Linked DNA regions of Anolis sagrei. Each later gene encodes a partner of the first gene's protein in a complex. Links are inferred from orthologs where the notes say so. Each region holds a gene or a part of one and is shown in the gene's direction. Other genes may lie near its edges.

Region 1 (7,073 bases):
ATTATTAGGTAAAGATAAAGGTTCCCCCCTGATATTATGTCCAGTTGTGTCTGACTCTGAGGGTTGGTGGTCATCTCCATTTGTAAGCCAAAGAGCCAGTGTTGTCCATAGACACCTCCAAAGTCATTTGGCTGGCATGACTGCATGGAATGCCGTTATTATTATTAGTAGTACTATTGTTAAATAATAAAATTAGTAAATAATAAAAACAGTATGTGTATGTATGTGTGTGTATATGTGTCTGTGTGTGTGTGGTTAAAGGTTTTTTTCCTGACATTAAGTCTAGTTGTATCCAGGAGTTGGTGCTCATCTCCATGTCTAAACCGAAGAGCTGGCATTGTCCACAAACACCTCCAAGGTCATGTGGACAGTATGACTGTGTGGAACGCCGTTATTACTGTTTATTAGTACCATTTATTAGTACGATTAATAAATAATAGAATGAGTAAATAATAAAATGGTATGTGCGTGTGTGTGTATTAAAAGGTAAAGGTTTTCCCCTGACATTAAGCCTACTTGTGTCCGACTCTGGGGAGTGGGGCTCATCTCCATTTCTAAGCCAAAGAGCCGGCATTGTCCATAGACACCTCCAAGGTCATGTGGCCGGCATGACTTCATGGAGCGCTGTTATTATTATCAGTACTATTATTAAATAATAAAATGAGTAAAAAATAAAAATAGTATGTCTGTGTGTATGGTAAAGATTTTCCCCTAACACTAAGTCTAGTTGTGTCCGACTCTGGGGGTTGGTGCTCATCTCCATTTCTAAGCCAAAGAACCAGCGTTGTCCATAGACACCTCCAAGGTCATGTTGCCGGCATGACTTCATGGAGGGCTGTTATTATTATTAGTACTATTATTAAATAATAAAATGAGTAAAAAAAATAAAAATAGTATCTCTCTCTCTCTCTGTGTGTGTATGTATATATATATATATATATATATATATATATTTGTTAGGGGCATCCAACGAGGAAACAAAACTCAAAAAACCCCCAACGAAACTTAACCAAAATTCCCATACCCATAACACAACCCACAAGGTACAAACATATCTACTCAAAATGAAAAACAACACAACAACACACTCACAAAACGGCAAAACAACAAAACTCAAAAAAACCCAACGAAACTTAACCAAAATTGCCATGCCCATAACACAACCCACAAGGTACAAACATATCTACTCAAAATGAAAAACAACACAACAACACACTCACAAAACGGCAAAACAACAAAACTCAAAAAAACCCAACGAAACTTAACCAAAATTGCCATGCCCATAAGACAACCCACAAGGTACAAACATATCTACTCAAAATGAAAAACAACACAACAACACACTCACAAAACGGCAAAACAACAAAACTCAAAAAAAACCAACGAAACTTAACCAAAATTGCCATGCCCATAACACAACCCACAAGGTACAAACATATCTACTCAAAATGAAAAACAACACAACAACACACTCACAAAACGGCAAAACAACAAAACTCAAAAAAACCCAACGAAACTTAACCAAAATTGCCATGCCCATAACACAACCCACAAGGTACAAACATATCTACTCAAAATGAAAAACAACACAACAACACACTCACAAAACGGCAAAACAACAAAACTCAAAAAAACCCAACGAAACTTAACCAAAATCCCCGTGCCCATAACACAACCTACAAGGTACAAACATATCTACTCAAAATGAAAAACAACACAACAACACACTCACAAAACGGCAAAACAACAAAACTCAAAAAAACCCAACGAAACTTAACCAAAATTGCCATGCCCATAACACAACCCACAAGGTACAAACATATCTACTCAAAATGAAAAACAACACAACAACACACTCACAAAATGGCAAAACAACTGAGCATGCGCATTGGCGCCCAGCCGCAAGTTCCCTGGCGCGCGCACATGGCCTTCCGGCCAACGTTCCCTCTGCGGAAACCATGCCCACTCCAAGCCCCGCCGCGCCGCTTCCCGCACACACACACACCCTGCCGCACGCACACACGCAACCCCACGCTCCATCACTCCCCCCGCCGCCGCATACACACACGCAACCCCACTCCCCCCGCCACCACACACACACACACAACCCCACGCTCCATCACTCCCCCCACCGCTGCACACACACGCAACCCCACTCCCCCCGCCGCCGCACACACACACGCAACCCCACTCCCCCCGCCGCCGCACACACACACGCAACCCCACGCTCCATCACTCCCCCGCCCCAATCTTACCTCCTTTTACTTCACGCCACCTCCAAACCCCACCCCGCCCCTTCCCGCCCTGTCAAAATCTAGGAAAGACAGGAAGGAAGGAAAGAAGGAAGAAAGAGAAAGGGAAGTAAAGAAAAAGGGGGAAGGAAGGAAAGTTACAGGAAGAAGAAAAGGAAAGAAAAGGAAAGATGGAAGGAAAGAAAAGAGAGACAGCAGAAGAGAAAGAAAAAGGGGAAGGAAGGAAAGAGATAGAGAAAGAAGAGGAGAAGGAAAGATGGGAAGGAAGGAAGGAAGGAAGGAAGGAGGGAGGGAAAGAAGGAGAGAAAGAGGGAAGATTGGCCACAGCAACACGTGGCGGGTAAAGGTTGTTATTTCTATGATTATTATGATGCTATTATTATTCCTCTGTGACCCTTTTAGGGGGAATGGGAGAGGTGTCAGGTCCCAGAGGCAATGCACTGCATTATTGTTATTGTTATGATGGTGGTAAAATAAAAGGAAATAAAAAGTGAAAGAAGGAAGCAAACAGGGAGGGAAGAAAGGCAAAGGAAGAAAGGGGGAGGGAATGAAGGAAAGAGAGAAGGATGAAACCAAGTAGTGAAAGAAGGAAAGAAAGAAAGAGGTAGAGAAGGAAGAAAGGAGAGAAAGGGGGAGGAAAAGGGGGAAGGAATAGGTAGGTACCTCTCTTTCATAATAGTCCAGATATCTACCTCAACTTTGATAAGTTTTACTATAGGCCACAGCAACGCGTGGCAGGGCACAGCTAGTATATATATATATATGGTAAAGGTTTTCCCCTGGCATTAAATCTAGTTGTGTCCAACTATGGGGGTTGATGCTCATCTCCATTTCTAGGCTGAAGAGACACCTCCAAGGTCATGTGGCCAGCTGAAGTCCAAAACTTCGGGAGGATTAGGTTTGGGAAACACAGATTCTCCACTACAAAATTAATGCAGTTTGATATCACTTCAACTGACATGGCTCAATGCTCAGGTCTAGAATGATGGGAGTTTTAGTTTGGTGAGGCACCAGTCCTGTTAAGCAGCGGCGGCGAATCAAGGCACAGAACTCCCATAATTCCGTAACACTGAGTAAAAGCAGTTAAAGTGGTGTCGAACTGCATTAACTCTGCAGTGTGGATGCACTCAAGACGGGGCTGATCTGGGTTTCAGAAGGAAGGAAAAGGAGACGGCACGCCATGTGCGGACACAGCCTCATTTCCTTTCTCATCTAACACCAATTGCTTCTTCTCCTGAAACTGCTATCTGAACTGCTGGCCCTTTAAGTGGGACGCGAGATCTTTTACACGGGATTGGACTGCAACACCCATCTTCCCTTCCCATCTTGAATGATAGGAACTGCATGTGGAAGGGCACATTCTGACTGGAAAGCCGGAGCCCATTGCGAACTGCAAAGTACTGACTCCAGCAAAAGGAGGGGGGCTTCCTAGGAAGAATACCTGCGGTTCCGCAATGAGGCTTCCGAACCCGAAAGAGACGTCCCCGAGGTAAAGAACCAATCAGCGCTGGCCACACACTGACGCAGTGGGTTCCGCGCGTGCGCTTTAGCGCCAACGAAGCCCACAACCATTTGCCCTCTTCTTCGCGCTGCCAGGTTCCAGCACAGTGAGGCTGCCTTGAAGCAATGGAACTGGCAAAATGGGGGAACAGGCTTCAGATTGACGGGCAGAGCATGCGCAGGACAACGAAACAGGATTTTATACAGGTTGGAACGAGCGCCCTCTATCTTTCATGTACAAGACTGTTTCTCAGTTCTTGTGGGTTTTTTCGGGCTATATGGCCATGTTCTAGAGGCATTTCTCCTGACGTTTCGCCTGCATCTATGGCAGGCATCCTCAGAGGTCTGCTGGAGCTGGGAAAAAAGGGGTTTATACATCTGTGGACTGACCAGGGTGAGACAAAAGGCTTTTGTAAGTTGGGCTAGGTGTGAATCTTTTCAACTGACCACCTTGATTAGCATACAATGGGCTGACTGTGCCTGGAGCAAACTCTTAAAGACTGTTTCTAATTCATAGCATGGTTTGAGCGCTGATATGCAAAGTAAAATTAATGCAGTTTGATAACAGCCATGGCTCAACATTATGGGATTCTGGGATTGGTAGTTTGGCGAGAGACCAGCACTCTTTGGCAGAGGAGGCACAAGGCCTTGTAAAACTACAATTCCTAGAGCTCCATAGCCTTGGACCAGGGCATTTTTCTTCTTCTATATAAATAAAAATGTAATGTTAGTTTGTGGGATTAACATAACTCAAAAACCACTGGGCGAATTGACACAAAATTTGGACACAAGACACCTATCAAGCCAACGAGTGACCATCACTCATAAAAACACTGAAAAACACAGCAGAAGAGACTTTAAAGCAAAAAAACAAAAAACATTACAACATATGCGCAAAACCACATATATACACATATACACAAATATATACACACACAAAACACATATACACAGACTGGGCCATAGCAACGCGTGGCAGGAGACAGCTAGTAAATTATAAATTCTTTACTGCTGTTTTTATTGGTGATTTATTCTATTTTCAAAAAGTCTTTTTCTTTTTCAGGGTTAGAAAAAGAAATGAACAGGATACTTCAGAGTATTTCCTGCCTCAGAAAACCTTTTGAAATTCACAGGGTCACTCTTAATTGACAGGTGACTTGAAGGCACACACACAAACACAGAATTCCCCAATGAATATTCTTGTTGTATCCTTTCAAGTAAACTCTGATTTCTGATAGCCCTGCCCTAGGGCTTCCTTGGTGATACTTGTTCAGAAGCATGCTATTACCTTTGTCTGAGGCTGAGAGAATGTGACAGGATTTGAACTCTGCTTCCATTGAGTCCTAATTCAACAGCCACAGACAACTGCATCACATTGACTTTGCTTTTCAACTGAACATGCTAGAACAGAGCTTTCCAAACATTTCATGTCGATGGCACACTTTTTACACCTGCACCATTTTGTGACAGAGTAATTCAGTTTATTTTTTTTTATAATAATCTTTATTGATATTTTCTAAAATACAATCCTTAAAATATAGTAGCTTAGATAGTGTGGTATATCAGATATAGATGTGTAGAGTTATAGCGGGGGTTAGAGGAGGAGAGAAGGAAGAAAAAGAGAATGAGGACGGTTGGAAGGGAGGTAGACCTTCCAGGGTAGGTCGGGGACGGGGAAAAACTATCCTGGGTATCTAAATGCCACGGAGTAGGGTGGGAAGGAAAAGTGTGGGTAAGATTTAGAAAATGTGAGAGAAAAAAAGAGTTTAAAAGAAAAGAATCAAGAATAAGTTCTTTCATCCATCAAACATGACTTCCAGGATTCATCTGTGGTGGGCCTCTTCCTCTTCTTTCTTTCATTTTTTTCTCTTCCTCTCTTTTCCTTCTCAATTCTAGTTGACTGGAGATCTTCTTGTATAGTTGCTCTTCTGAATCCAGGCCTTTTTGCCTGACCTTCTATATTGGTAATTGATTATATGTGTAACTTTAAGTATTCTTTAAAACTTGTCCAATCTGTTCTTATCTCCTCGATTCCTTTACTTCTTTGCATTATGTAACTTAAACAATCCATATTTCTGACTTCTATCATTTTCTTTTTCCAATCCTCAATCTTCGGAACTTCCTTTTTCCTCCATACTCTTGCCAGACAAATCCTGGCAGCTGTTGTTGCCAGGAATAACAGTTTATCTGTATTTTTGTCCAATTTGATTTTTGTGATGCCTAATAGGAATATTTCAGCTTTTAGGGGAATCTTGACTTTCAGTATTTTCTGTAATTGTGTTTGAATTTCTTTCCAATAATCTTTTATTTTCTTACACTTCCACCACATGTGGTGCAGCGTTCCTTCCACTGTTCCGCATTTCCAGCATCTTGAATTACAATTTTTGTAATATTTATTTAATTTGGCGGGTGTCAGATACCATCTAAAAAAGATTTTCCACCAATTTTCTTTCAAATCATATGCTTTTAAGTATTTTAGTTTTTTTTTCCATATCGTTTCCCATTCTTCTAATCCAATCGTTCTACCTACATTTTTGGCCCATTTCACCATGCAATCCTTCACCCTTTCTTCTTCTGTACTCCATTGGAGTAATTGTTTGTATATTTTAGAGATTTTTTTTCCTTCTGTTTCCCAGATTTTGTCCCAGATATTCCCTCTTTTCTCAAATCCTATCTTTTTGTCTTTACCAAAAAACTCCTGTATTTGCCTGTACTGTAACCAGGTCATATTTGGGTAACTTGCTTTTATGTCTTCTAGGGGTCTCAGATTGATCACTTTGTTTTCTTCTTTTAGTAATTCTTTGTAGTTTGGCCATTTAATCCATCCTAGTTCCCTTCTTTGGCTTGATTCTAAAGGGGAGATCCATGTTGGAATTTTGTTATACATTCTCTTCTTGTATTTGTCCCAGGTTTTTATGATCGCTGCTCTTACAAAATGGTTCCTAAATTTTTTTTCTATTTTTGTTTTCTCATATCCGATGTAAGCATGCCACCCTCTGCGGAGGTCGCATCCTTCCAGATTTAGTATTTTTTCTTTCTTCAGTCTTACCCATTCTGTGGCCCAGGCTAGGGTACATGCCTCGGCGTATAACCCTAGGTCTGGTAGTGTCAATCCTCCTCTTCCTTTCTCATCTGTCAGATTTTTATAACTTATCCTTGGTTTTTTATTAAGCCAGATAAATTTTCTAATATCTTTATTCCAGTTTAGTACAGTTTTCTTGTTCCTTAGTATAGGTATGTTTTGGAACAGAAATAGCATCCTTGGCAGGACATTCATTTTAATGCATGATGTTCTTCCTAATAATGAGATTTTCAAATGTT
Region 2 (8,023 bases), on another chromosome or scaffold:
TGTTTAACTTGTTGTCCACGAGGACTCCAAGATCTTTTCCACACATATTGTTGTCAAGCCAGGCATCCTCCATCTTTGCATTTAATTTTTTTTCTGCCAATCCCCAAACTTCAAACTGGGCACATTTCTGTCAACGTTATGGACTGGTCTTCCTGGATTATTATTATTTTTCTTTCACCCATGACAGTTTCTTCCATGACTTGAGAAAAAAATATTCACTTCTGTGGAACCATAAACCAGCAGCAGGAAAGGTGTTGCAATACAAAACCCAGGCGTGTGCCTTCTGACTGTCTAAGCCGATTATCACAGCATTAGGATCGTCCTCTTATGTGTCCAGTTGAAACTGGTCAGTTCCTTGCCGTCCCGGCATCTTGAAGTCTTTGCTCTGATAAAAGAAGGTAAGGAGCATTTAAAATACTATTAATATCAAACATATCTAGAAGCCATAGAGAAATATTGAGATGATTGTTATATTGTTTATTATTTAGCATAAATACTTAAAAATATGTTTACTATAGATAGTTACTCAGAGCTGTGTCTTCTTTGATTGAGGTAACAAAGTGACTGCTTTCTTGAATTTTGTGTAGAGTCGTGAAGTATCTGTTTAAAATCCTGAAAGATGATGCTGTCAAGGTGATGCATGCCATAGGCCAGCAAATATGGAAAACACAAGAATGGCCTTCAGACTGGAAAAATATAATAATAATAATAATAATAATAATAATAATAATAATAATAATAACAATACTGTATTTATACCCCACCACCATCTCCCCAGTGGGGACTCAGAGCGGCTTACATGAGGCCAAGCCCGAACAACAAATTACAATAAAATAAAACCAAAACACAACCAAAAATGCAAACAGTAAACAACAACATCATAATAAAATAAACATGTAAATATATAACAATATAAAATTACAATAGACGCAATCACAATAACAATGGATGGGCTACATGTAATGATTAAAAGAGAGACTAATTAAAACTTTTAAATGCTTGTATGTTATTGTTCATTGTTATTGTTTATTGTTTATTTTTGTTTTGAGATTTATTTTACTGTTTTGTATTGATTATTTTGTTACTGCTGTCGTTTTATTGATGTACTGCAGGCTTGGCCTCATGTAAGCTGCACCGAGTCCCTTGGGGAGATGGTAGCAGGGTACAAATAAAGTTTTATTATTATTATTATTTTAAAACTCAGGCGAGATAAAAAAGAGACAGATTATTTGCGGAGGAGGGCTCATTATAGTGGGGGTTGTGGAATCAAGCTTTCCCACAGAGCGGGGGACAACATATATGCCAATGACAGAAGGTTGAGGCTAAGCAGTAGTCTGGGATTGTATACATACTCCAAAGGCGCAGCGGGAGAGCCAGGTTTTAAGGTCCTTTTTAAAGGTTTGTAGGGTAGGGGCTTCCCTAATTTCTCCAGGTAGTGAGTTCCAAAGTCGGGGGGCCACAGAGGAGAAAGCTCTCTCCCTAGTGCTTACCGGGCGAGCTTGTGAAGCTGGCAGGGGCAAAAGAAGGGCCTCCCCAGATAAATCAACTTCTATCCCCATATCAACAAAGGGAAATGCTAAAGACTGCTCAAACTTCCGCATAGTGGCTCTTCTTTCTCATGCCAGGAAGGGAATGCTCAAGATCCTGCAAGGAAGACTCCAGCAAGACATGGAGAGAGAGTTGCCAGATGGACGAGCTGGGAAAGACAGAGGAACCAGAGACCAGATTGACAATATCTGGATGCTGGAGAATGGAGAAAGGCAGGGAGTTTCAGAAAAACATCTATTTCTGTTTCATTGACTATTCTAAAGCCTTTGACTGTGTGGATCATCATAAATTGTGGCATGTTCTTGGTGGTATGGGCATACCAAATCACCTTGTCTTTCTCCTGAGGGATCTGTATAAGGACCAAGTAGCAACAGTAAGAACTGACCACGGAACAACAGATTGGTTCAAGATTGGGAAAGGCGCACGGCAGGGTTGTATCCTCTCACCCAACCTATTCAACTTGTATGCAGAACACATCATGCAAGGATGTGCAGAGCTTGACGAAGGCAAGGCTGGGGTGAAAATTGCTGAAAGAAACATTAACAACCTTAGATATGCAGATGACACCACTTTGATGACCGAAAGCGAGGAGGAGCTGAGGAGCCTTCTAATCAAGATGAAAGAAGAAAATGCAAACGCTGGGTTGAAGCTAAACATAAAAAAACAAGATTATGGCAACAAGAACGATTGACAACTGGGAAATAGAGGGAGAAAACGTGGAGGCAGCAACAGACTTTATATTTCTAGGTGCAAAGATGAGTGCAGACACAGAGTGCAGCCAGGAAATCAGGAGATGCTTACTTTTCGGGAGGAGAGCAAGGACCAATGTCGACAAAATAGTGAAGAGTAGAGACATCACACTGGCAACAAAGATCCGCATAGTCAAAGCAATGGTATTTCCCATAGTCACCTACGGATGTGAGAGCTGGACCATAGGGAAGACTGAGCGAAGGAAGAGAGATGCTTTTGAACTGTGGTGCTGGAGGAAAGTTCTGAGAGTGCCTTGGACCGCAAGAAGATCCAACCAGTCCATACTTCAGGAAATAAAACCCAACTGCTCACTGGAGGGAAGGAAAGTAGAGGCCAAGATGAAGTACTTCGGCCACATCATGAGAAGAAAGGAAAACTTAGAGAAGACAATGACGCTGGGGAAAATAGAAGGAAAAAGAAAGAGGGGGTGACCAAGGGCAAGATGGATGGATGGCATCCTTGAAGTGACTGGATTGACCTTGAAGGAGCTGGGGATGGTGACGGCCGACAGGGAGCTCTGGCCTGGGATGGTCCATGAGGTCACAAAGAGTCAGAAACGACTGAACGAATGAACAACAACAATGAAGTATCATATTCTTATTCCTCGTTGGGAGTCTTATGATATGACTTACGCTCCTTGGATCAAAGATCAGGGATTGCCAATATGCCTCAGGGATGGACAGACTTGTGGGATTTAATTTGTTTTTCCTTTTTGCTTAGAAGCCAGATCTGCCAAATAAAACCTAGTGCAAAGAATGTACATTTAGACTCAAATAATTCTACATCCATTAATATATTTTAAGCACCCAAAGTGAAGTATACCTGTATTTACATGCAAGGAAAAAACCACTGAGATCTCACAACAGATCTTCTGAGGATGCCTGCCACAGATGCAGGCGAAATGTCAGGGGAGAATGCTTCTAGAACATAGCCATACTGCCCGAAAAACCTACAACCCCCCCAAACCCACTGCCAATTACCCAATTTGTAAAAAAGGCAATGTTTTAAAAATGCTACAGAACAATCTGTGTTGACATTTTACAAGGCCTTTATCCTTCTCTGCCAAAGAGTGCTATGCCTCACCAAACTGTAATTCCCAGGATTACATTGCATTGAAACATTGCCTTTAAAGTACGAGTGTTATCCAGAAAGTAAGGTTACAAGGCACGTTAACTCCATGGGGAATTTTCTTGGGGGAAATTGGTATAGCAGGAAGTCAGTGGAAGAGAACGAGCAGTGCCAGTCGTCAGTAGCTCATCGACTAACTTTGTGGTAAAGGTTAGAGATGAGCTTCCTCATTCCATTTCCCTCCAAGTGCATTTAAACATGGCCTTCAAAGTTCGAATGTTATTCGGAAAGTAAGGTTACAAGGCACGTTAATCCTCATGGGGAATTTTCTTGGGGGAAATTGGTATCACTGCTGTGTAGCAGGAAGACAGCGGAAGAGAACGAGCAGTGCCAGTCGTCAGTAGCTCATCGACTAACTTTGTGGTAAAGGTTAGAGATGAGCATCCTCGTTCCGAAGTTTGCACTGTAATGTGCGAAGTTTGCGCTGTAATGTGATACCTAAAAGCTAAGGGCATGAACGCAGCTATGATGCATCGCAAAATCATTTCAGTTTATGGAGAGGACGTAATGTCAAGACAGCATGGGACAAAATGGGTATGGAATATATTGTAAGACCATGACAAAAATTCACAGAGCTGTCCAAAACAAACACCGTGGGATGCTGACGGTGGGAGTTATGACAATGCCTGTCCGCACACCGCTCATACAACACAAAAGTTGCTGACTTTGTTTGGTTGGGATGTTTTAACCCACCCTGATCTCACACCCAGTGAGTCTGTTCACTAAATTGAAGGAACACCGTGGTGGAAAACACTTTTCCGATGCCGAGGAGGTGAAAATCGAAGTGACAAACTGGCTGAAAAAGATGGAGGGAAACTTCTGTGACACAGGCATCAAAAACTCATCCCACGGAAGACAAAATATATTGAACTGAATGGTGATTATGTAGGAAAATAATGTAATACCTAGACTACAATCTATGTAAGTGTTATTAAAATACATTCATTCTTTATATTTTAAAAAAATCCTTTCTGGATTTATTTAAACTTTCTGGATAATCCTCATAGTTCACATTGCGTTAGTTCTAAGTCTGTGGGAGACCACGGTTTGAATCCCTTCTTGGCCACTGAAACCCACTCTCTGCTCTTGGGCCTTTTGGCTTCTTTTATCCTCAGAGATGGCAAACTTCCTCTGAACAAAGCTTGCCAGAAAACTCTGAAATGGTTACCTTAGGGAAGCCGTGAGCTGGAACTACGTGAAGGCAACAAATAACAAAGTTGTAATAATCAATTGTGCCATAATTGGCGGTTGTCTTTAGGCATCTTGAACACAAGTGGCAGGAATTCAGAATTTTCCTGCATTCAAAGAGCGGCGTTTACTCTGCCTGCAGGAGTTGCAGATTCTTTAAGACACTTGAAAGGCAGCGCTAGGTCAAGACATTTTTCACCTGGGGTGTAATTTTAACCTCAAGCTGGTTATGTTATTTTTGCAGAACTGCAAGTAGTCCTTCACATCCTTGACAGTTAAAACACAACGAAGCAAATAACAATTTGCTGGACTTTTAAATTGTTAGTGCCAGTGCTGTTTAAAATGCAAAGGCTTTGTGCCTCACGTCTAGCATCCACCTGCTTTCATTCTCTCTTTTCTCTCTCTCCCTCTCTCTCTTCCAGCTCCAGCACTTCGCAAAGATGTGTGACCAGACGTTTTTGGCCAATGTGTTTGGTCCATGCGACAAATGTGCCCAAAACCGGGCCCTCCGAGAGATTTACCGCAAAAATGAGAAACTCAGCTACTGCTCACTATGTGTGGGAATGGTACGGGACGGCATCTATTTTCATTGCGGGAAGGGTGGAATATATCTTGCAATCTCCTTTGAATGCTTTAAATATTTAAACCAGTGGTTCTCAACCTTCCTAATGCCACGACCCCTTAATACAGTCCCTCATGTTGTGGTGACCCCCAACCATAATATTGTTTTCGTTGCTACTTCATAACAGTCATTTTACTACTGTTATGAATTGTAATGTAAATATCTGATATGCAGGATGCATTTTCATTCACTGGACCAAACTGGGCACAAATACCCAATACACCCAAATGTGAATGCTAGTGGGGTTGAGAGAGGATTGATTTAGTAATTTGGGAGTTGAAGTTGCTGGGATTTATAGTTCACTTATAATCAAAGAGCATTCTGAACTCCACCAGCGATGGATTTGAACCAAACTTGGCTCCCATAACCAATGGAAAACACTGGAAGGGTTTGATGGGCATTGAGTTTGGGAGTTGTAGTTCACCTATATCCAGAGAGCACTGTGGACTCACGCAATGGTAGATCTGGACCAAACTTGGCACAAATACTCAATATAATAATAATAATAATAATAATAATAATTGGAAGCAAACCCCAGTGGATACCAGGGGCCACTGTAATGTAAAAGAAATCCCAAATTTGCACGGAAAAATGCTGCACTCGCAGAGCTCAGGCGCTGTTGTATTTAATAAATAATAATTTATTATCTATAGTAATATCTATAGATTCGGGTATCTACGGGGGGGGGGGGGTTGGAAGCAAACCCTACAGGGGGGGGGGGGTTGGAAGCAAACCCCAGTGGATACCAGGGGCCATTGTAATGTGAAAAAAACCCAAGTTTGCATGGAAAAATGCTGCACTTGCAGAGCTCTGGCGATGTATTTAATAAATAATAATAACAACAAGACTTGAATATCTATAGATTTTGGTATCTACGGGGGACTGGTAGCAAACCCCAGTGCATACCAGCGGCCACTGTAATGTAAAAGAAACCCCAAAAATGCTGCACTTGCAGAGCTCAGGCAGTGTTGTATTTAATAAATAATAATAATAATAATAATGGGACTTGAACATCTATAGATTTTGGTATCTACGGGGGGGCTGGAAGCAACCCCCAGTGGATACCAGGGGCCACTGTAATGTAAAAGAAACCCCCAAAATGCTGCACTTGCAGAGCTCAGCCGGTTTTGTATTTAATAAATAATAATAACAATAGGACTTGAATATCTATAGATTTTGGTATCTGGGGGGGGGGGGGGCTTGAAGCAAACCCCAGTGGATACCAGGGGACACTTTAATGTGAAAGAAACCCCAAATTTTTATGGAAAAATGCTGCACTCGCAGAGCTCAGGTGGTGTTGTATTTAATACATAATAGTAATAATAATAATAATAAGAAGAAGAATAGGACTTGAATATCTATAGATTTTGGTATCTACGGGGGACTGGTAGCAAACCCCAGTGGATACCAGGGGCCACTGTAATGTAAAAGAAACCCCAAAAATGCTGCACTCGCAGAGCTCAGATGCTGTTGTATTTAATGTATTATTATTATTAATAATAATAATTAATAATAATAATAATAATAATAATAATTCAAGTCCTATTATTAATAATAATAGGACTTGAATTTCTATAGATTTTGGTATCTACGGTGGACTGGTAGCAAACCCCAGTGGATACCAGGGGCCATTGTAATGTAAAAGAAGCCCCAAAAATGCTGCACTCGCAGAGCTCAGGAGGTGTTGTATTTAATAAATAATAATAGGACATGAATATCTATAGACTTGGGTATCTATGGGGTGCTGGAAGCAAACCCCAGTGGATACCAGGGGCCACTGTAATGTGAAAGAAACCCCAAATTTGCATGGAAAAATGCTGCACTTGCAGAGCTCAGGCGGTGTTGTTTTTTAATAATAATAATAATAATAATAGGACTTGAGTATCTATAGATTTTGGTATCTACGAGGGACTGGTAGCAAACCCCAGTGCATACCAGGGGCCACTGTAATGTAAAAGAAACCCCAAGTTTACATGGAAAAATGCTGCACTTGGAGAGCTCAGGCGGTGTTGTGTTTAATAAATAATAATAAGAATAATAGTACTTGAATATCTATAGATTCGGGTATCTACGGGGGGTTGGAAGCAAACCCCAGTGGATACCAGGGGCCACTGTAACGTAAAAGAAACCCCAAGTTTGCATGGAAAAATGCTGCACTTGCAGAGCTCAGGCGGTGTTGTATTTAATTTATTATTATTGTTGTTGTTATTATTATTAATTAACAATAATAATTAAATAATAATAATAATAATTCAAGTCCTATTATTAATAATAATAGGACTTGAATTTCTATAGATTTTGGTATCTATGGGGGTCTGGAAGCAAACCCCAGTGGATACCAGGGGCACTGTAATGTAAAAGAAACCCCCAAAAATGCTGCACTCGCAGAGCTCAGGTGGAGTTGTATTTATTAAATAATAATAATAATAATAATAATAATAATAATAGGACTTTGATATCTATAGATTTTGGTATCTGGTGGGGGGGGGGGGGCTGGAAGCAAACCCCAGTGGATACTAGGGACCACTGTAATGTAAAAGAAACCCCAAAAATGCTGCACTTGCAGAGCTCAGCCGGTTTTGTATTTAATAAATAATAATAACAATAGGACTTGAATATCTATAGATTTTGGTATCTGGGGGGGGGGGGGGGGCTTGAAGCAAACCCCAGTGGATACCAGGGGACACTTTAATGTGAAAGAAACCCCAAATTTTTATGGAAAAATGCTGCACTCGCAGAGCTCAGGTGGTGTTGTATTTAATACATAATAGTAATAATAATAATAAC
Region 3 (8,043 bases), on another chromosome or scaffold:
GCCAGGGCAACAAAATTCACAGTTAAAGTGTTTGAATGCATTCGCCAATAGCTGTTTCAATACCAAAGGTTGCAAACCTTTCTGAATTTCTTTAGGAGCAATTTATTGGAATCTGCAATAGAGGGGTGAGTTGAGCTAAGCAAAAATGCGCAGGGGCACCTCTTCTCTTTTTTCTTTCCTACCTTCCCTCTTCCTTTTCTTTATCACTTTCAGCCTCTTTCTGTTTGGTTAGATGCTGCAGGTCGCTTCTGGTGCGAGAGAATCAGATATTGCCCAGTGAACACCTGGATGTATTACAATCTTGCTGGAAGGCTTCTATCATGTCTCCCAGGAATGCCTCAGCAAGCGAGAGTCCAAAAGTGGCAGGCTAAAGCCCAGAACCTCAATCCATGGCTGATACTGGATGAGAGACTCCCCCCTGGGCACACAGAAGACAGATTGCACTCTGGCACCACAAGGTGCAGAACCAATCTTCAGAAATCGGGCCACAAAGTGGAGTCCACAGCATGCGATTGTGGAGAAGAGCAAACCACAGACCACTTACTACAATACAGCCTGAGCCCTGCCACATGCACAATGGAGGATTTTCTTACGGCGACACCAGAGGCACTCCAAGTGGCCAGTTTCCGTTCAAAGGACATTTAGTATAATGCCAAGTTTATAACTTTGCTTGTGTGTTTTAAATACATGATAATTATACCTTCAGTTTGCTTCTGACACGATAAATAAATAAATAAATAAATAAGCCACTTTCTTTCTTTTTCTGCCCAGTACAAGATTGCTGTAGAATGGCAAGATTGCTCCCATCAAGAAACAGACTTAATCACTAATAGAGAGGGCTTTTGAAATTGGCCAAGAAATGTATGAGATTTTTAGATCACATCAGCCATCCCAGTCCAAGTAGCATTATTAACACAATAGCACTGTAACACCACTGAAGAAAAGGATAGAGGTGTTTCTGTCCAGATATTGCTGAATTGTGGAGTTTGTTCCCAAAAGGTACCAAATTAAAAAATAACAATAATGAAAAATGAGTTGTGGGTGCAATTTTCCAAGCATTGTACAGAAGCGAATCGATACATTTGTAGCATGTATAGATCAAAACTATCAAAATATATCAGTTCCCTTCTGCACAATGCTTGGGAAATCGCATTTTATAGCAAAAGAAGGCATATCCTCAGCACATTTTCTTCAGTTCCTGTAAAATTGGTTCAGATGGATTTGGTACCTTTTGAAAACAAGCTCTACAATTCTAGCTAGCCAAAGGTGAAGTGTGATATGTTTTTTCCCATGTCAGGAGCGACTTGAGAAAATGCAAGTCTCTTCTGGTGTGAGAGAATTGGCCATCTGCAGGGATGTTGCCCACCTGGATATTTTTGATGTTTTACCATCCTTATGGGAGGCTTCTCTCATGTCCCAGCATGGGGAGCTGTAGCTGACAGAAGGAGCTCATCTGCACTCTCCCTAGATTCGAACCTCCAATCTGTTGGTCTTCAGTCCTGTCAGTACAAGGGTTTAACCCATTGCGCCACCGGGGGCTCCAAGCATGATGCATGCAAATGGCAAATACGAAATATGTACTAGTCCAGGGGCCCAGAACAGGGCCCAGCAAGAGACTGAATGCTCTGAAACACTAGGCTGGGGATGATGAGCCCACCCCTGAAGTAATGTAGTAAAACTAGAACTATCAAGAATCCTACGTGTCTGAGCCTTCTCAGAAATCGAAAAGGGAGGAAGAATTGTTCAACAAAGGATACTAAATGTCCCAGTACCAAGAAATGTTAAGGCAGTGATTGCCCTTCAGCAATCCTGGGAATAACAAAGGCTGAAATCTATCTTCTGCAAACATATTTGGAAGTGATCTACCTTGAGTACATAGAATCAAAAAGTTGGAAGAGACCTCGTGGGCCACCCAGTCCAACCCCCTGCCAAGAAGCAGGTAAATTGCATTTAAAGCACCCCCAACATCCTCTGTTTAAAAGCCTCCAAAGAAGGAGCCTCCATCACACTCTGGGGCAGAGAGTTCCACTGCTGAACAACTCTCACAGTCAGGAAGTTATTCCCAATGTTCAGGAGGATGCTTCCATGTACATTTTGTGCTTGTAAGAGCCTCCCTATTTAAGAATGTTTACATGATAATGAGTAGGAAGAATATTTTGCCTCCCTTTGGCCTGCTAATGATGCATCTCCGTCTACGAACCCACGCGTTCACTTTGGTCATCTGGAGAGGCCCTGCTCATGATCCCGCCTGCGTCGCAAGCACGCTTGGTGGGGACTCGAGACAGGGCCTTTTCTGTAGTGGCCCCCTGACTCTGGAACGCCCTCCCAAAAGATCTCAGACAGGCCCCTACATTGGCAGTCTTCAGAAAGAACTTGAAGACCTGGCTATTCCGATGTGCCTTCTCAGATTAGGAATCTCCAATACCAAGTCCTAGAAGCACTTTAGTAGAATTAAGATTGCTACATTCTGCACAATGCATTTACTTATAATCCTACATACCTCTGCCACATCCGCACTTTTAACCTTGTACCCATTACTCCGGCCCGGCCCAGTTTTATAGTGTCTTGATGTATTGTTTATTGTTTGTTGTTCATACTGCTTAACTGTTTTTAATTTGCTTTAGGTATTGTATTGTTGTATTGTGTTGGTCTTGGCCTATGTAAGCCGCATCAAGTCCTTCGGGAGATGCTAGCAAGGTACAAATAAAGTAATAAATAATAATAATAATAATAATAATAATAATAATAATAATAATAATAACTCTTCTGCTTAAAAATTGTTGAGGTAGCTCTAATGATTAATTCCTCCTATTCTGGTGCCAGTGCACAGATAGTATTAAGGCTGTGCTGCAGCATGTATTCAATCCCCATTGTCAACCAGGGGCTTAAGGTATGTGACTGTATAGCATCAAAGCGCACATTGGCTGCAATGTACAACATTTTTTTATAACACAGTATATAGAAATGTTGAGCTTTTTTAAGAATCATGACTGCTGAATGCTGAATTTAAGGGTGTGTGTGTGTGTGTGTGTGTACAAATTGAGCTCCCGGTGGTGCAGCGAGTTAAAGCACTGGGCTGCTGAAGTTGCTGCGTGAGCTCATGCTGTTAGTCCCAGCTTCTGCCAACCTAGCAGTTTGAAAATATGCAAATATGAGTAGATCAATAGGTATTGCTTCTGCAGGAAGGTATCAGCAGTCCATGGGGCCATGCCGACCACATGACCTTGGAGGGGTCTACAGACAATGCTGGCTCTTTGGCTTAGAAATGGAGATGAGCACCACCACCCCAGAGTCCAACAGGACTAGACTTAATGTCAAGAGGAAACTTTTACCTTTACCTATGTACAAATTAGACATGGATAGGATATCAGGCACGATACAGGTTCTTTCCTGAATCCATCCAATGCTTGGAATCTTCTACTCTCCTGCCTGGTTGCATCCAAATGTAAGGAAGGCAATAAAAAGTCGAAATATTTCTCGTGGTACTGAGCACAACGTTGAATGCTATTGCGTTCCTCTCTTCCTCACCTCTGAGCTTTGTTTTGATTGAAGGGAGTCTGCCTGCTTCAGCCAGCAGGTGTCGCTATCCCCTTGTTTCTTCCCATTATATCTATTCATACTTTGTTAATTAATTCGCACAATAAAACCAGTTTTTTATTTAAAAAGGAAAATAAAATAAACTCCTACTCTTTCCCGGGACACTGTTAGTAGAGATAGTATTTATTCAGTGCTGGAAGAAATACCTAGGCAGGTATATCTGGAGGTGGGGGGAGAAGGAGGAGGATGTGGCCATCGTCCTGGGTTCAACCCTGCAGTTCTAAAAGGAGAAACGGGGATTGCGAGGGGAGAAGACTCCTTGCTTGGGTCTCTAGGCTCTTCCACACACCCATATGACCCAGAATATCCGGACAGAAAATCCTACAATATCTGCTTTGAACTGGGGGCCCTTCCACACACCCATATAACCCAAAATATCCGGACAGAAAATCCCACAATATCTTCTTTGAACTGGGGGCCCTTCCACACAGGCCATATGACCCAGAATATCCAGGCAGAAAATCCCACAATATCTGCTTTGAACTGGGGGCCCTTCCACACACCCATATAACCCAGAATATCCGGACAGAAAATCCCACAATATCTGCTTTGAAGGGGGCCCTTCCACACACCCATATGACCCAGAATATCCAGAACGAAAATCCCACAATATCTGCTTTGAACTGGGGGCCCTTCCATACAACCATATAACCCAGAATATCCAGGCAGAAAATCCCACAATATCTGCTTTGAACTGGGGGCCCTTCCATACAACCATATAACCCAGAATATCCAGACAGAAAATCCCACAATATCTGCTTTGAACCGGGGGCCCTTCCACACACCCATATAACCCAGAATATCCGGACAGAAAATCCCACAATATCTGCTTTGAACTGGGGGTCCTTCCATACAACCATATAACCCAGAATATCCAGGCAGAAAATCCCACAATATCTGCTTGAACTGGGGGTCCTTCCATACACCCATATAATCCAGAATGTCTAGGCAGAAAATCTCATAATATCTGCTTGAACTGGGGGCCCTTCCATACACCCATATAACCCAGAATATTCAGGTAGAAAATCTGGGTTATCTGAGTCCACCGTGCCATATATTCCAGTTCAAACCAGATTGTGGGATTTTATTCAGCTGTGTGGAAGGTGTGAGGCAGCAGAGTCTTCAGGTGAGGCAGACAGGGCCAGTTCTCCCCCACCTGGGTGCCTTCCCTCCCTCCTGGAAGCCTGCGAGGCGCTGTCCTCCTCCTGCTGCTCTTTCAGCACTTGGACAGCTCCCTCCAGGGCTGCTCCCTGATTGACAGGGCAGGCTTCCAGCCGGCGCTCGAGGCGCCCAGAGCGCGCCAATGGGCGGGAGGCTCGGGGAGAAAGGGGCGGGGCGGCCGCCAGATCGGGGCTGGCAGAGCAGCTTGGCCAAACGCCGGCGACAGTCGGGAAGGGAAGGCAGGGAAGGTGCCTCCTTTGGCGGGGGACCCGAGGGAAGCGTCTCCTAGCGAAGCCCTCGCTCCGCCTTGCCTCCCCTCCCTCTGCCCACTTTTCCCAGAGAAGAGAACTCCTCTGGGGAGGGTTTGCACCCGGGATTCCGCGGCTCGGGGAGGTTGGCAATGGAGGAGGAAGAGGAGCAGCGGCGGCAGCAGCAGCAGAAGGCAGGCGAGGACTAAAAGAGAAGAGCGGATGGGGGAGAAAGAGCCCTGTTGGCAGAGGAGAAGCGGGCAGAAGAGCATCGCCCTCTCGCCCGCGGCAGGGATGGCCCCGGCTGCGTAACGGAAGCCTTCACACATCTATTTGCGATTGTGCGGGCTCGCTACAGGTGACTCCGCTCCTTGCTCCGGATCTAGGTCTCCCTCACGCCATGGGTCTCCTTTTGTAAGGGGGGGAAGGAAGGAAGGGGCTCTGCTTCGCCCGGCGGAGGACATGGGTCGGCGGCCGCCCTTCTTCTCCTTCCCCTTCCTGGCCGCCCTCCTCTTCCTGCTCTGCGTGGCCCCTCTGGTTGGGGGCGGCGTGGCGAAGGGTCCCAGCCGGGCCACGGCTCCTTGGAGGCGATCCGCAGCCATGGAGGAGGAGGAGGAGAAGGAGAAGGAGGAGGGCGCCCCTGCCTTGGCCCAGCGCCTCTCCCGGGAGCTGCCCCCCGCCGTGGCCACTTTCCTCCGCTACGGCGACTCCCGGGAGCTGAAGCGGGCCAACTGCTCGGGGCGCTTCGAGCTGGGCCCTTGGGCCGGGAAGCCCCGCTCGCTGGCCTCCCACCCGCCGCTCCAGGCCGCCCTGGACGCCCTCCTCCACGCCGCCAACTTCCTCAGCACCCTCCTGCAGAGCAACCAGAGCCGCGAGCAGAACTTGCCCGACGATCTGGACTGGTACCGGGTCCTGGTCCGGACCCTCCTGGAAGGCAACCCGGGCATCTTCCGGGCGGCGCTGACGCTCAGCCCGGAGCACCCGCAGCAGGTCCTGCTCCAGGCCATCCGACAAGACAGCCGCGTCTTGCTCCAGGACCTCTCCGCCGCAGCCACCCACCGGGACACCGAGTGGATCCACGCGTGGAGGCGCAAAGGGAGGCCCCACCCGCCCCGCAAGGGCCCCGTGGCCGAGGGAGCCCGCAAGAAGGGAGACAAGGGACACGTCCAGTGGTCTCCGCCCTTCCTGGACTGCGAGGACGGCGCCTACAAGCCCGCCTGGCTCCTCAGCCTCTCCGCCGCTTTCTATGGCTTGCAGCCCAACCTCCTGCCAGAATTCAGGTAGGAACACCCTGCTTCACGTTGCCCTGCATTTCTAGGAATTCTGTCAGAAGCAGACTTTTTATTTGTGTCAAGGCACCAGTGTTCAGCAAGTGAAAAAGCAAACAACATAGCTGTGTGTCTCTGTGTGTCTCTCTACCAGGCATGAGCCAACTTGGGCCCTCCAGGTGTTTTAGACTTCAGCTCTCTCCATTCCTAACAGACTCAGGTCCCTTCCTCCCCCCCCCCCCCCCGCTGAGCTGTTGAACTTGAATCTGGAGAACAGGATAAGCTCCTTCCATTAGCCCCAGCTTCTGCCAAACTAGCAGTTAGGAAACATGCAAATGTGAGTAGATCAATAGGTATTGCCCCAGCGGAAAGGTAACGCTCCATGCAGTCATGACCCTGCAAGTGTCTACGGACAACACCAGATTTCAACTTAGAAATGAAGATGAGCATCAACCCCTAGAGTCAGACAGGACTAGATTTAATTTCAGGGGATTCAGGTTCCTACTTGTCAAAATTCAGGTAGGAACACCTGGCTTCACGTTTCCCTGGATTCCTAACACTTCTGTCAGAAGCATACTTTTTTGTGGTTCAAGGCACCAGTGTTCAGCAAGTGAAAAAGCAAACAATACAGCTGTGTGTATGTGTGTGTCTCTACCAGACATGGACAAACTTGGGCCTTCCAGGTGTTTTGGACTTCAACTCCCACCATTCCTAAGAGCTTCAGACTCCTTCCTTTTCCCCCACTGAGCTGCTGAACTTGCTGTTTGAAAGGTTGGCAGTTCAAATTCAGGAATTGGGGTGAGCTCCCTCTGTTAGCCCCAACTTCTGTCAACCTAGCAGTACAAAACCATGCAAATGTGAGTAGATCAATACGTACTGCCCCAGCGGGAAGGTAACAGCCCTCCATGCAGTCATGCCAGCTACATGACCTTGGAGGTGTCTACGAACAACACCAGCTCTTTGACTTAGAAATGGAGATGAGCATCAATCCCCAGAGTTGGACATGACTAGACTTAATGTCAGGGGAAAACTTTTACCTTTATATGTGTGTGTCTCTACCGGGCATGGACAAACTTCAAGTCTCCAGGTGTTTTTGACTTCAATTCCCACAATTCCTAACAGCCTCAGGCCCGTTCCTTTCCCCCCTTAAGATAGCACTGTGGGCTCAAACAATAATGTATCTGGATCAAACTTGGCACGAATACTCAATATACCCAAATGTGAACACTGGTGGAGTTTAGGAAAAATAGACTGGTGGAATTTAGGGAAAATAGATCTTGACATTTGGGAGTTGTAGTTGCTGGGATTGATAGTTCACCTACAATCAAAGAGCATTCTGAACCCAATCAACAATAGAATTGGGTCAAACTTCCCACACAGAACCCCCATGACCAACAGACGATACCTCTGACCCCCCCCCCCGCAGCTCCCCCAGGGGTCCTGACCTCCAGGTTGAGAAACACTGACCAACAGTATATGACTTGCCTAAGAGCGATCTATAGATCTGTCTGTCTGTCTGTCCATCCATCTACATTGACACATCTACACTTTTTAGAATGCAGCCAATCTTCCTTAGCTCAATCTTGGCACATGCTTCCTTGATCCTATGCGTCTACTCAAAAATAACTCTCACTGGCATTGTTTGGTCCTAATTCCCAGTTCTCAGGTACAGAGATGCAGCCTGATGCTGTTCATAAGGGAAGTCTCACTGAGGTTTGTTCACCGGATCCTGTGAAATAGGAATGCTGTTTCCCTATCTCCTTTCTGTG

The links.
Region 2: the proteins of RGS7 (region 1) and GNB5 are in contact, whole or in part, in a cryo-EM structure (PDB 7EWP), measured with the Homo sapiens proteins. The link is inferred for Anolis sagrei from reciprocal best matches to the Homo sapiens genes RGS7 and GNB5. Residues at the interface, in NP_001351815.1 of Homo sapiens: Pro19, Leu22, Val23, Lys26, Val30, Ile72, Val76, Glu77, His80, Leu81, Leu84, His88, Val207, Asp213, Ile214, Lys215, Lys216, Leu258, Gln261, Ile262, Trp265, Gln266, Gln268, Leu269, Arg271, His272, Arg273, Leu274, Lys275, Met276; in NP_057278.2 of Homo sapiens: Leu57, Glu60, Ala61, Glu62, Leu64, Lys65, Leu68, Glu71, Lys74, Leu75, His76, Asp77, Val78, Glu79, Leu80, Val83, Leu90, Phe93, Arg98, Arg99, Leu109, Lys117, Arg118, Ser134, Phe135, Trp149, Met151, Leu167, Tyr197, Ser206.
Region 3: the proteins of RGS7 (region 1) and GPR158 are in contact, whole or in part, in a cryo-EM structure (PDB 7SHF), measured with the Homo sapiens proteins. The link is inferred for Anolis sagrei from reciprocal best matches to the Homo sapiens genes RGS7 and GPR158. Residues at the interface, in NP_001351815.1 of Homo sapiens: Gln35, Ile43, Ser55, Arg109, Phe110, Thr112, Pro113, Tyr114, Phe115, Lys134, Thr136, Lys140, Ala141, Arg142, Leu143, Leu145, Ala146, Asp147, Ala150, Leu153, Gln157, Trp164, Phe168, Met169, Gln170, Glu172, Ala173, Gln174, Lys176, Val177; in NP_065803.2 of Homo sapiens: Leu507, Lys508, Phe510, Leu511, Arg513, Thr514, Tyr595, Tyr598, Ala599, Thr602, Val603, Pro604, Ile714, Arg715, Leu718, Lys719, Tyr722, Leu725, Glu726, Tyr728, Lys729, Arg730, Met733, Ile734, Thr735, Asn736, Asn737.

Annotation. Positions count from the first base shown.
Region 1 is NC_090021.1:56,333,180-56,340,252, forward strand, and holds the start of RGS7 (regulator of G-protein signaling 7), read left to right. Parts: upstream 1-4,030; 5' UTR 4,031-4,146; intron 4,147-7,073. UniProt on the Homo sapiens protein: GTPase activator component of the RGS7-GNB5 complex that regulates G protein-coupled receptor signaling cascades.
Region 2 is NC_090029.1:20,397,043-20,405,065, forward strand, and holds the start of GNB5 (guanine nucleotide-binding protein subunit beta-5), read left to right. Parts: upstream 1-5,011; 5' UTR 5,012-5,054; coding exon 5,055-5,180; intron 5,181-8,023. UniProt on the Homo sapiens protein: Enhances GTPase-activating protein (GAP) activity of regulator of G protein signaling (RGS) proteins, such as RGS7 and RGS9, hence involved in the termination of the signaling initiated by the G protein coupled receptors (GPCRs) by accelerating the GTP hydrolysis on the G-alpha subunits, thereby promoting their inactivation.
Region 3 is NC_090026.1:109,420,985-109,429,027, forward strand, and holds the start of GPR158 (metabotropic glycine receptor), read left to right. Parts: upstream 1-4,950; 5' UTR 4,951-5,468; coding exon 5,469-6,286; intron 6,287-8,043. UniProt on the Homo sapiens protein: Metabotropic receptor for glycine that controls synapse formation and function in the brain. Acts as an atypical G-protein coupled receptor that recruits and regulates the RGS7-GNB5 complex instead of activating G proteins.